Nothobranchius furzeri: one gene and its partner. The protein of the gene in region 1 purifies or fractionates together with the protein of each later gene. This does not show direct contact. Links are inferred from orthologs where the notes say so. Each region holds a gene or a part of one and is shown in the gene's direction. Other genes may lie near its edges.

Region 1 (5,649 bases):
ACAGAAATCACAACGGCCCAACAGGAAAAGGAGCAAGCACAATTTCCGTTTTTCACAATAAATCGATAAACAAACGGCGTTTTTTGTTTCATATGCACAGATTTAACAACTTTTAACAACTATCAATGGCGGCTGAAGTTTAAATGCACAAAATTAAGCCATAAATACAGTTTCCACTATCAAAGTAGTCACACTTTGTTGATCCAAACACTGCTGATCTCTCAACACACATGATGGGCAGATTAAACAGTTCATGCCGATGCTTCTCCCACACAACGGGTGTTTGGATCTAACTTCCGCGTTTATTGCTCGGACTGTATCGCAAGATCTCGAAAATCCCGCGCATGCTTGTTTGCCCCCCTCAGGTCTCCGCACCGGAGCGGAGCCGTTGTAGAGCGGGTAGCAGTAAAAATTGAGTTCGGAAGCGAGCGGCTGCGGAAGGCGGGGGCGGACCGGAGCGGAGGTAGTGGAATTTGGGGGTAACATGCGTCTGCTCCAGAGAACAACCAAAACCACTCAGCTAGTACCTGGAATTTTAAGAGGAATGAGTGTAGATGCCCTGGTTGTTGATGATTATCTTTAATTTTTTGATTCTGACAGTTTGGAAGTTGTGTGAAAATATTCTTTAAATCTCTAGTAGAGCATTAATAGAGCAAACGTTCAGTATTTCATACTTTTTGAGTTTTGCAGCTTAATCCTAATTTACACTTCTCCGTCTGCGTCAGGACGGACGCAACGCCATTATCCGTCCTTGCGAGCCTGATGGAGAGCCCTCGCAAGAACGGACGGAGTCGAGCTCTCTCTTCTAAACATCCGTCTGTCGAGACGGAGAGCGCAAGCTTGCGATTGGTCAGGACGCCATCTACAGCGCCGTCATTGCGCCCTCAAAAACAAAGAGAGCCAAGATATCTCGCGGCAGACACGGAGAAGCTTGAAGAATACATCGCGGAAAAAACGAAAACAAAAAACGTTTTATCCCCCCGTGACCGGAGGAGTAAAACGATACGCAGCAAACGTTTTATTCGTGGACGGAAATCACGGGAAACGTGGGTTTAGAGGTGGCGAGCGCATGAAGAGGCGGAGGAGGATGAGTGACAAATTTGTTAAAAAGTCTCTTAAATACAACATAAACACACCATGTGGACTGGATGCATGACAGGATACCACAGAACAGCGCTGCGCCCTCTGCTGTCCTGGTGGGGAGTTGTTTGCTGCACTCCCCAGGAGACGGAGAAGTCCGATAGCACAACGTCCCCATCCGTGCGCGTGTGTCTCTCCCCGGTGACGGAGAAGTTAGGCTTCACTTTACCATTTCATTTAGTTTCTTTTTCCTGCCTACAGATTGTAATCGCCACTCCCGGTCGTCTGATCGATGTGCTGGAGAACCGGTACTTGGTTCTGGGCCGCTGCACCTACGTAGTCCTGGATGAGGCCGACCGTATGATCGACATGGGCTTCGAGCCTGACGTCCAGAAGATCCTGGAGTACATCCCGGTGACCAATCAAAAACCAGACACAGATGAAGCAGAGGACCCTGAGAAGATGATGATGAACTTTGAGTCTGGGAAACACAAATACAGACAGGTATGTGTTTGAGCGAACCGCTTGTAGGTACCAGGTGTTCTCTGGTGAACAAACCGTGATTTATCCAACCTTTCAGACGGTCATGTTCACCGCTACGATGCCTCCAGCTGTGGAGCGACTGGCCCGGAGCTACCTGAGACGTCCTGCTGTGGTGTACATCGGATCAGCTGGAAAACCTCACGAGCGGGTCGAACAGAAGGTGCTGCTGATGTCAGAAGGAGAGAAGAGGTGAGCTGCAGGCGGGAACACGGCAAACATCTCAACTGTGCCGGCGTGCTGAGCGAGTTTTGTTTTTGTGTCGCACAGGAAGAAGTTGCTGGAAGTTTTGTCGCGCGGCTTCGAGCCTCCCATCATCATCTTCGTCAACCAGAAGAAGGGCTGCGATGTGCTGGCTAAATCTCTGGAGAAGATGGGGGTAAGGATCAGGAGGCTGTGTAACAGGATCTCACCTTATGAAATAGATTTGACACCTATTCAGAAAAATGCTGGTTGTTTTCATTTTTAACTGCAAATATTGCAACAATTTAGTGACTTAACGGACTTTTGCTGCGCTTTAAGCTTCATTTACACTTATTCGTCTGCGTCGGTGCGGAAACACGCCACACCTTTATGCATCATTGCAAGAGTTCTCCGACGGGCTCACAGAGGGTGACGGAGACGTGTTCACTTAACAGAGACTGCAAGCTTGTGACTGGTCAGGATGCTGATTCCTGTAATTTAGTCAAGAGCGCCGCCTTCGCCCCCTCAAAAAGTAAAACGATATTTAGCGGCAGACATGGATTTAAGAAGGCATTGTGGAAAACAGTCTATATGAAGGTTTATTCACCCGCGACTGAAGGAGTACAAAGATATGCACAAGCGTTTTATTCATGGTCGGAAATGACGAACGTGAGTTTAGAGGTGCCGATCGCAGAAAGAGGTGGAGAATGGGAGACAAATTTGTTTGTGTTCAAAAGTCTCTGAAATACATGAAAACAATGTAAACACATTAGTAAACACACTATTGTGGACCAGATACTTGACTGTGATGGTGGCAGGAAACCTCAGATCGGCGCTACGCCCTCTCTTGTCTTGGCGGGGAATTATTATGCAACAATCCCCAGCTGACGGAGAAGTCCAAGAGCTAAACGCCTCTTTCAATGCGTGTGCGTCTCTTGCGCACGGCTGATGAAGTATAAATGAAGCTTTTGTCACAAAGTATCTTAAACGGATACTTTGTGACTTTTTCATATTTTGAATATCATTTTCATGAGCCAGTATGCGCTAAAATAACCCTTTACCAGGTTAAGGAAATGCCACTGTCCTTTGTGCATTTGCAACTTCAGAGTGCCGGTCTGGTCTGTTTGATTTAGAAGAAAATGGAGCTGACATACCTGGCGCTGCAGTCTTCCATCACGTTTCCTGCATATTTTGGATCAGGAACACAGCTGATTTGTTTAATTTAGTGATTATCCGCTCTTGTAGAGCTTAAGGAAGGCTGGGGAGACATTTCAGCTTTTAGCTTAAGGTGTTAAAAAGATGAATGCACAGTGAGGAAGGGCTGGGCGATATGGCCTAAAATCAATATCACGATATATTGAGGATTTCACCTCGATAACGATAAATTGGCGATAACCACAGGTATGTGTAGAAACAAAAGTTGTCCACTAGATGGGGCTGTCACACGTATAACGTTGAGTCAAGATGGTGCAGCTTCAAGCAAGCCAAGACTGCCTAGTCTCCCTTTAAGTCCATCTTGTGAGGAACATTCTGCTTGACTGAGCAACACGATGAGATTCTGTGACTGAGGAAATGTAACAATCTCCTGGTCTCCGATGGTCACAGCTCAGTGACCGTCAGAGACGCATACCTGTCTGGATGAACATTTTGCGACTTGTGGCTTTGATGAGTGTTTGGTTCTGTAGTGTTGTATGCATTATGTGTTGTTCACAGCTGTGTTGACCCTCGCCTTCTCTTCTTCTCAGTACAATGCGTGCACGCTGCATGGTGGCAAAGGCCAGGAGCAGAGAGAGTTTGCCCTCTCCAATCTCAAGGCAGGAGCCAAAGATATCCTGGTGGCCACAGATGTTGCTGGTCGAGGTATCGACATCCAGGACGTCTCCATGGTCATCAACTATGACATGGCAAAGAACATTGAAGGTCACTGTTTCTTTTTTGTCACTTGTGTTTCAACAGGCACTTGGTTTCCAAACATGGATAATAATCTGATCATGTGACTCTTCCTACAGATTACATCCATCGTATTGGTCGTACTGGTCGTGCCGGCAAGAGCGGTGTGGCCATGACTTTCCTCACCAAGGAGGACTCTGCTGTCTTTTATGACTTGAAGCAGGCAATCCTGGAGAGCCCGGTGTCCACCTGTCCTCCGGAGCTGACCAACCACCCCGATGCGCAGCACAAACCTGGAACCATCCTTACCAAGAAGAGACGCGAGGAGACCATATTTGCTTGATTTCAGTTATTTTTTTACTTCGTTCATTGACCACAAGACAAAAATGTTCCTGTTTATTTTCCCGTCGCACAATGTGCTCTTTGGTACTTTTTCACCTGGTTTTGTGTTATTTATGTCCCATTTGTGGTCAGAAAAACACATTTGCAGAGGGTGAAGTTGGACCAGTGAGCAAAACTGTGTATAAACGTGAAATAAGTAGCTGCAGAGTTTTGTGTTGTGATGTGAGACCAAAACCTGATGGGAAGTCAGGTTTTCCTCTTGGTTAAATGCTGTAACCGTTTTTAAATATAAACATCCGTACAACACACTTCAGATGACCTTGTTTGTTGAAGCTGTTGTCGAGACAGGCAAAAACATTATAGTCCACCGTTCAGAAGCAGTGGATAAAAGGTGCACCATGAAACAAGAACCAAAACCATTAAAAGTACATAAAATGTCTTGTTTATTTAGTTGAAGTCATATTTCACTTAGCATTGTAAATCGGTTTTGAAATAGAAAGCATTCTTTACAGCATCAGGCAGGAAACGGCTCACTTTTCTACTCATTTTCTGTCTTTTTGATAAATCCAGGGAAGAGGCGTGTCGGACCACGCTAGCACGCTGTGGTAGTCTGGTGGATACATGGTTGGATTTAGTGCAGTTATTGCATTACAAAGCAACCACCCCATCCCCAAACAAAATAAAATAGTGCAATTTTTTTCTACTCACATAGAGGAAGTCCGGATGGTCTAAGGCGTTAGTCTGTTTTGTTTTTTAATGTTAGGCTTCATATTGCATACAGAATAAGAAAATTAAATGATAACCCTTGTAGAAATTGTGCTTGATAAATTGAACATCCTTATCTGCGTCATCAGTTGCTAAGTTGGTCCACTTTGATAAACAAATTGGCAAAATGTTATGAAAGTAGCTAATTGTTGAACTGAGACATGCAGGCCTGTGAGAACTCCCTAACTAGTCAGTTGTTTAGAAATAAAATCCACCCTGGGAATACTTTTAGGGGCATCCTCAGCGCTCGGGGCTTTGGAGAAATAAATGTTCAGTAATCGTGTTGCGAGTCGCCCCAAAGACACGACCATCACTACAAGACGACGAGGAGAGTCCGAACCAAACGCATTTTACTAAAATACTTAACTGGAAAAAGAAACGATCAGATTTCATGCAACACTTGCATAGATTTTTTTCTTTTTTAAAGTCATGCATTTTTTAAAATTTTCTCTTTATATATACAGAACACTAGATAACTGTATGCGACACGTGGAAGCAGTAAACGCTGTCCCTGTGGAGGGACAGAGACGGGTCGCTGCTCAACAGCATCAAACTCTGCTCACGGACTAGAGATGGACAGGATGTTACGGGAGCTACGAGCGCCTCAGGAGCCTGACGGAACGTGGAGCTGAGCTCGATGGCGGTGTAGTAGGACTTACACCTGAGGATCCATCTTAGTGTGGAAAAGAAATTTTAAAAATGCTTAAAATCTTGGAAATGGTGAGTGCTACAATCAGTAACGTGCTACAGTTGGATGAACGGGGTAGAAACCAGGTGGTGCCGGAGGTGCAAAAGGCATGCAAGCTTACATTCTGTGAAGCTTTGACTCGGGAGCTGCAGCTGTGCAGC
Region 2 (4,979 bases), on another chromosome or scaffold:
TAAATGTAATTTTACTTGGCCAATAAATCTGAAATCTGATCTGATTCTGTGCTGTGGTTACTAGCCTGGTTACAGATTAATGTTTCTGCTGTTTTTTACACATAAACGTGTCAGATCAGCTAAACAAAAACATGTTAAAAAATAACCCGAGTTAATACAAAATTCAATTTTCAAACAACAGAATTAGCTTTTGGGCCTTGGCCTTTTGCTATGACACTTGTTTACCCCCCAACTGGAGGGCACTTGGGCTGAAAAAGGCTCTTCAAAGCAACCTGGCCCTATGAGCAAAACATGATTGACTCCTGATTAAAACAACTGCAATCAAGCTTTTGTGATCATGGGTGATGAATTGTTTTGATGCAGTGGAGTGGAGCTGTTCAGGCGTTCTTCAGAAATTTCCGGTAGTGAGCAGAATTTTGCTTGTATGATTTTTTTCACAGCTCTTAAGTAAGATTACTTTTAATCAAATTTATGATGAGCACCCCCCCGGATAATCCTAAACCCTCCAACTCGAAGGCTCCAAGTATGACCTATTTTAACCTATTTTGTCCTACATCATTTTACATTCAGTGTTGCAGCAAGTAGACTCGCACAAGGCCTCTGCACAGAAAATAAATATTAAAATGAAAGTAAAATATCAGTATTAAAATGAGATATACAATTACAACAATATACAATCAAAACATGAAGTGAGTCGGATAACAGTTCAGTCTTACAGGACTATGCTTTAGCATATTTCTGACTCAAACGTGCCAAATCCCATACAGCAGCTGAATGCACCATTTAAACAAGTTGAATCAGATCTCTGTACTATTTTAGACTTTTTGCTGCTGGCATGTCTTATAAAGACTTTATTGAAACAGTTTAGTAGCAACAAGAATGGTAACTAACAATCTTCCATTTCAGTTTTCCACAATTCTCAGAATATTGTACATTTCCTATTTATTCTGAGTGGTTTGCCTTTTGAACTAAAGACTCTTTATTTTTTTAACCACTCATATCTTTGAGTTTTCTATTTTTCTATCACTTTCAGCAAATTGTTTAACCAGTGACACATTAATGCCTTTGTTTTTTACAGCAAAAGTAGTAATAGTGGTACTTGTGCCGCAGCACTGACCCATGGGTTTAGGGGTTTGTCTTCAGACACAATGCATTTTTACTTTTAATGCAAAGATCAGAACTTTGCTTTTGACTCTACGTTTACTGGTTATACTGCTATTTTGTATTTAGTTCATCATTTTCTTTTGCTGTAATTGCAGAGCTGTGAGGCTGTCAGTGGACCAGGCTCCAGGTTTAAGGGTAAACACTCCCTTGACAGTGACGAAGAGGATGATGGAGAGGACACAAACAACAGCAAATACAATATTCTTGACAATGATGATGTGGAGGGTATGTCTTGTTAAGTATTTCCATTATACTTTTGAAGTTGTAAACTGGGTCCAGTTTTCCTTAGGCTGTGTGAAGCAATGTTTTTTGTTAAATGCTTTTTGTGGTGAATTGGGGTGGTGCCACCTTTGTTTCCAGGCCAAGAAGGAGCGACTATTGACTTTGACGAAGGAGTTTCTATTACACCTTTCAACCTGGAAGAGGAGATGCAGGAAGGCCACTTTGATTCAGAGGGAAACTATTTCATCAAAAAGGAAACACAAATTAGAGACAACTGGCTCGACAACATAGACTGGGTAATTGCATTCTCAGACAAATGATTATTTAATGGAAGCTCTGCATTTTGCAGTAAGTGAAGTATCTGTTTTCTTGCAGGTGAAAATAAAAGAGCAGCCTATTAAGAAAAAGAAAGGTCTTGCAGCCAAACGGAAACGCAGAGTCGGTGATGAAGATGAGGCAGAGGAAGAGAAACGAAGGGAAGAACAGCAGGCAAACCAGGAGGATGAAGAGGAGGAGGAGATGCCTGCAGAGGACCCGTTGGCTGCCTACACTCAACAGCAGCTTGTTGAAGCTGTTGTTGAACTGCTGCAGCCTGGAGAAACGGTCGCCGCGGCGCTCCGTCGGTTAGGAGGCCTTGGAGGGCGCAAGAAGGGAAAGCTGAGAGAAGAAAACCAGTCCACAGAGGAAGCTTCAAGAGACACGGAAAAGCTGGATAGGCTCACAGCTTTAGCTGACAGGCTGGTTGGATCTGGGATGTTTGAAATCTATCAGCAGAGCTATGAAAAACTGGCCTACGTGATGAAAAGCATGACCAGCAAGAAGCCAGCAGTGAGGCAGACGAAAAGTGACGATGAGGAAGAAGATGAGCTTGACATGTTTGGTGATAAGTTTGATGAGAAGATTGGTGAGAAAGAAGAGGATGACAACCAAGGTTCTTTCCTTCATGCTTATAAATGATTAAGTTCAGAAGAAGGTTACTTACCTCGATTCCCCTTTTTCTTCTCAGTGAGTGATGAAGTGATGTGGGAATACAAATGGGAAAATGAGGAAAAATCTGAGGTCTATGGGCCATTCACCAGCCAGCAGATGCAGGTATTACTACTATTTTAGCTCTGACGTGTTAAATGCCCAACTTCCAAACTGATGTGGATTAAGAGGGTTTTCCTTTTTATTACGAATGTAGATTCTTGTGTGTCTGTGAGGAATTCAGAACACTTACCGGGCTTTTCCACCTGACACATTAGCATCACATAACGTCTGCAAAGCACCCTGCAACGTCCGCGAAGTGTAGTACACAGCAAATAGCCGCCGTCACAGTGGGTGCGTTTCCACCGACTGCTTAGCGCCAACGTTTTTGAGGCATCCCAGAAGCGTAGTGACGCGTTGCTCCGTTAAATTTATGCTTCCATTCTTATTTTTGTTAGCACTGTGCTTTCGTGCTGTGCTTTCATGACATGTCAGTCTCAGCCATTCAGATCAGGACAAACACAGGAGCACTGGGAAACATCTGGACACTTTAAAAATAATAAAAGACACGTGCCGATTTCCAGTTGCTTGTTTAAAATAGTTGTGATGCCTCTGTAGCCGAGGTAAACCCAACACAAAACAAACCACAGGTCTTTTTCAGACAAATGCTGCCGTCTTTCCTCTTCATTGTTACTGCGTGAACTTCCAGTTCTCTGGTGATTTCGTGATCTCGTGGGTTCAGCTGTTGGTGATGTTTTTGCCGCTGTTTCATTTCTGAAACGCTCCCAGTAGGAAGGGACAAGCGACTGAGATTGGAGGTCAAATGCTTCTATTACGTTACGCGACGCTTATGCATTCAGTGGAAATTAGGGGTTAGGCAGTGAGTAGTCTGATTTTAATTTTTTATTTTTTCTTGTACATTTATATTTTAAAAGAAAACATAAGTATAACACCTCATACATTTAAATGCAATGTTTTAAACATGTATTTTATTTATTTCCCTCCTCAAAATACCAATAATTCCATCATTTAATCTAAATAATTGAATTGTTGACTGGTTGTCTCATTAACCCCAGTCTGACCTAGTGGGCTTTTATTTTCTTACTGCTGTGTTTTCAGGGCTGGGTGGATGAAGGCTATTTTAGCAGCGGCGTCTACTGCAGGAGGGTGGATCAGGACGGATCTCAGTTCTACAACTCCAGAAGAATAGACTTTGACCTCTTCACATGAATTATGTACACCATCAGATGAAAAACAGCCCTCTTGAATTTTGTCACCACTCATGTTTTACTTGGATTTTCTCTGTTTATACACCAGGGTTTGGAGGAGAATTGGTCCATTCATTTTAGCCCTGCCTTTGTTTTCTGCAGATAGTTTTTAAATAAAAGGCTTGTGTGCATCATTGCTGAAATTCTATTCTTTCTTTTTCTGAAGCAAGGACACAGCTTGTAAATGCTGATTATTCATATACACTGCAGTTTTACATTTTATTGTTGCCCTTAATAACGTGTTTACATTTAAAGTTAGAAAACATGAGCACAGGGAAATCAGGGCAATGTAAGTTATTTTCTGTCGGAATAATTTTATTACAGTATTTAGGCAGAGTTGGAAAATGCCTAATAACCAAAATAAACCATTCCCCAGTAAATATGCACATTAATTTCGTAATGTGAATTTAAATTCGTCCTTAGATGGTTTTAAGCTTGAGCTTTATGCTTTTTTAAGTTATCAGAGAGGCGATATGAAAGGAATAGTGTCCGCTTTATCAACATTGCGTTTTAAATGTGTTAAACCGTTTCCTGAATGTGTGTCAAGTTATTAAAAAAACTCGCTTATGACGCTAGATATACAAGAATTCGTGAATTTTTCCGATGCTCCTATTGGCTGGCCTCAACCAGCGACCCTGACAGACGCAACATGATTGGTCAGCTTTCAAAGAGGCGTTTCGAGTGGAAACCAACCCTGAACTGTGATTGGCTGGGCTGATTGTTAGATTTGTAAAAACGGATACATTTTCTACTCGCAGTAGGGCGCCGTCTTTTCGTCATGTTTTGTTTACGGCGGGTTTGGCTTTCACCCCCACGGTCCAGTTACAGCTTTTAGGTGAGTTTATCTAATGGTTTTTATTTGCTGTCAACGTGTTCATGCAAGCTACATAACGAGAATATTCCCACAAATCCCGTAAGCACCAAAGAACGTGTAGAGAAATGACAGTTGTGGGCTACGACTATTAACTGGAACAGAAACTGCCACACTGTGTGTCCCTGTCGGCTATACAGCCATGGAGAGCTGACGGAGTTCGGATGAAAGTCAGCTACGACAACATTTGGGACAGTTTTAACGGTTAGGTTTTTGTCTGTTGTTGTTTTTTGTCGGCGGCTCACAATAAAGGTAAATAAAAAAAATTTCTCCAGTAAGTAGACTACGCTCAGTTTTGATCCGACAGCATCTGAAAACCTCGCAGCAAATAGCTGCTATGCATTTCATTTAGATGTAACATTATAAGGTGATTATTGAGTGTTTCCCGTGGCTTGGTGAAGGTTGTAGGATTTCGGCTGAACAACTTTGGCGCTAACACGGTGCAGCCTAGAGAGGGGGTCTAATATGTGCCACTTTGGAGGAAGGAC

Evidence for each region.
Region 2: the proteins of ddx23 (region 1) and cd2bp2 purify together in Homo sapiens (affinity purification with mass spectrometry; 6 studies listed by BioGRID and IntAct, counting the BioPlex papers as one, with this or other methods). This does not show direct contact. The link is inferred for Nothobranchius furzeri from reciprocal best matches to the Homo sapiens genes DDX23 and CD2BP2.

The regions. Positions count from the first base shown.
Region 1 is NC_091755.1:54,903,395-54,909,043, forward strand, and holds the end of ddx23 (probable ATP-dependent RNA helicase DDX23), read left to right. Parts: intron 1-1,341; coding exon 1,342-1,584; intron 1,585-1,660; coding exon 1,661-1,812; intron 1,813-1,890; coding exon 1,891-1,999; intron 2,000-3,548; coding exon 3,549-3,723; intron 3,724-3,812; coding exon 3,813-4,036; 3' UTR 4,037-4,481; downstream 4,482-5,649. UniProt on the Homo sapiens protein: Involved in pre-mRNA splicing and its phosphorylated form (by SRPK2) is required for spliceosomal B complex formation.
Region 2 is NC_091745.1:8,816,839-8,821,817, reverse strand, and holds the end of cd2bp2 (CD2 antigen cytoplasmic tail-binding protein 2), read left to right. Parts: intron 1-1,259; coding exon 1,260-1,389; intron 1,390-1,524; coding exon 1,525-1,682; intron 1,683-1,761; coding exon 1,762-2,317; intron 2,318-2,392; coding exon 2,393-2,478; intron 2,479-3,471; coding exon 3,472-3,582; 3' UTR 3,583-3,754; downstream 3,755-4,979. UniProt on the Homo sapiens protein: Involved in pre-mRNA splicing as component of the U5 snRNP complex that is involved in spliceosome assembly.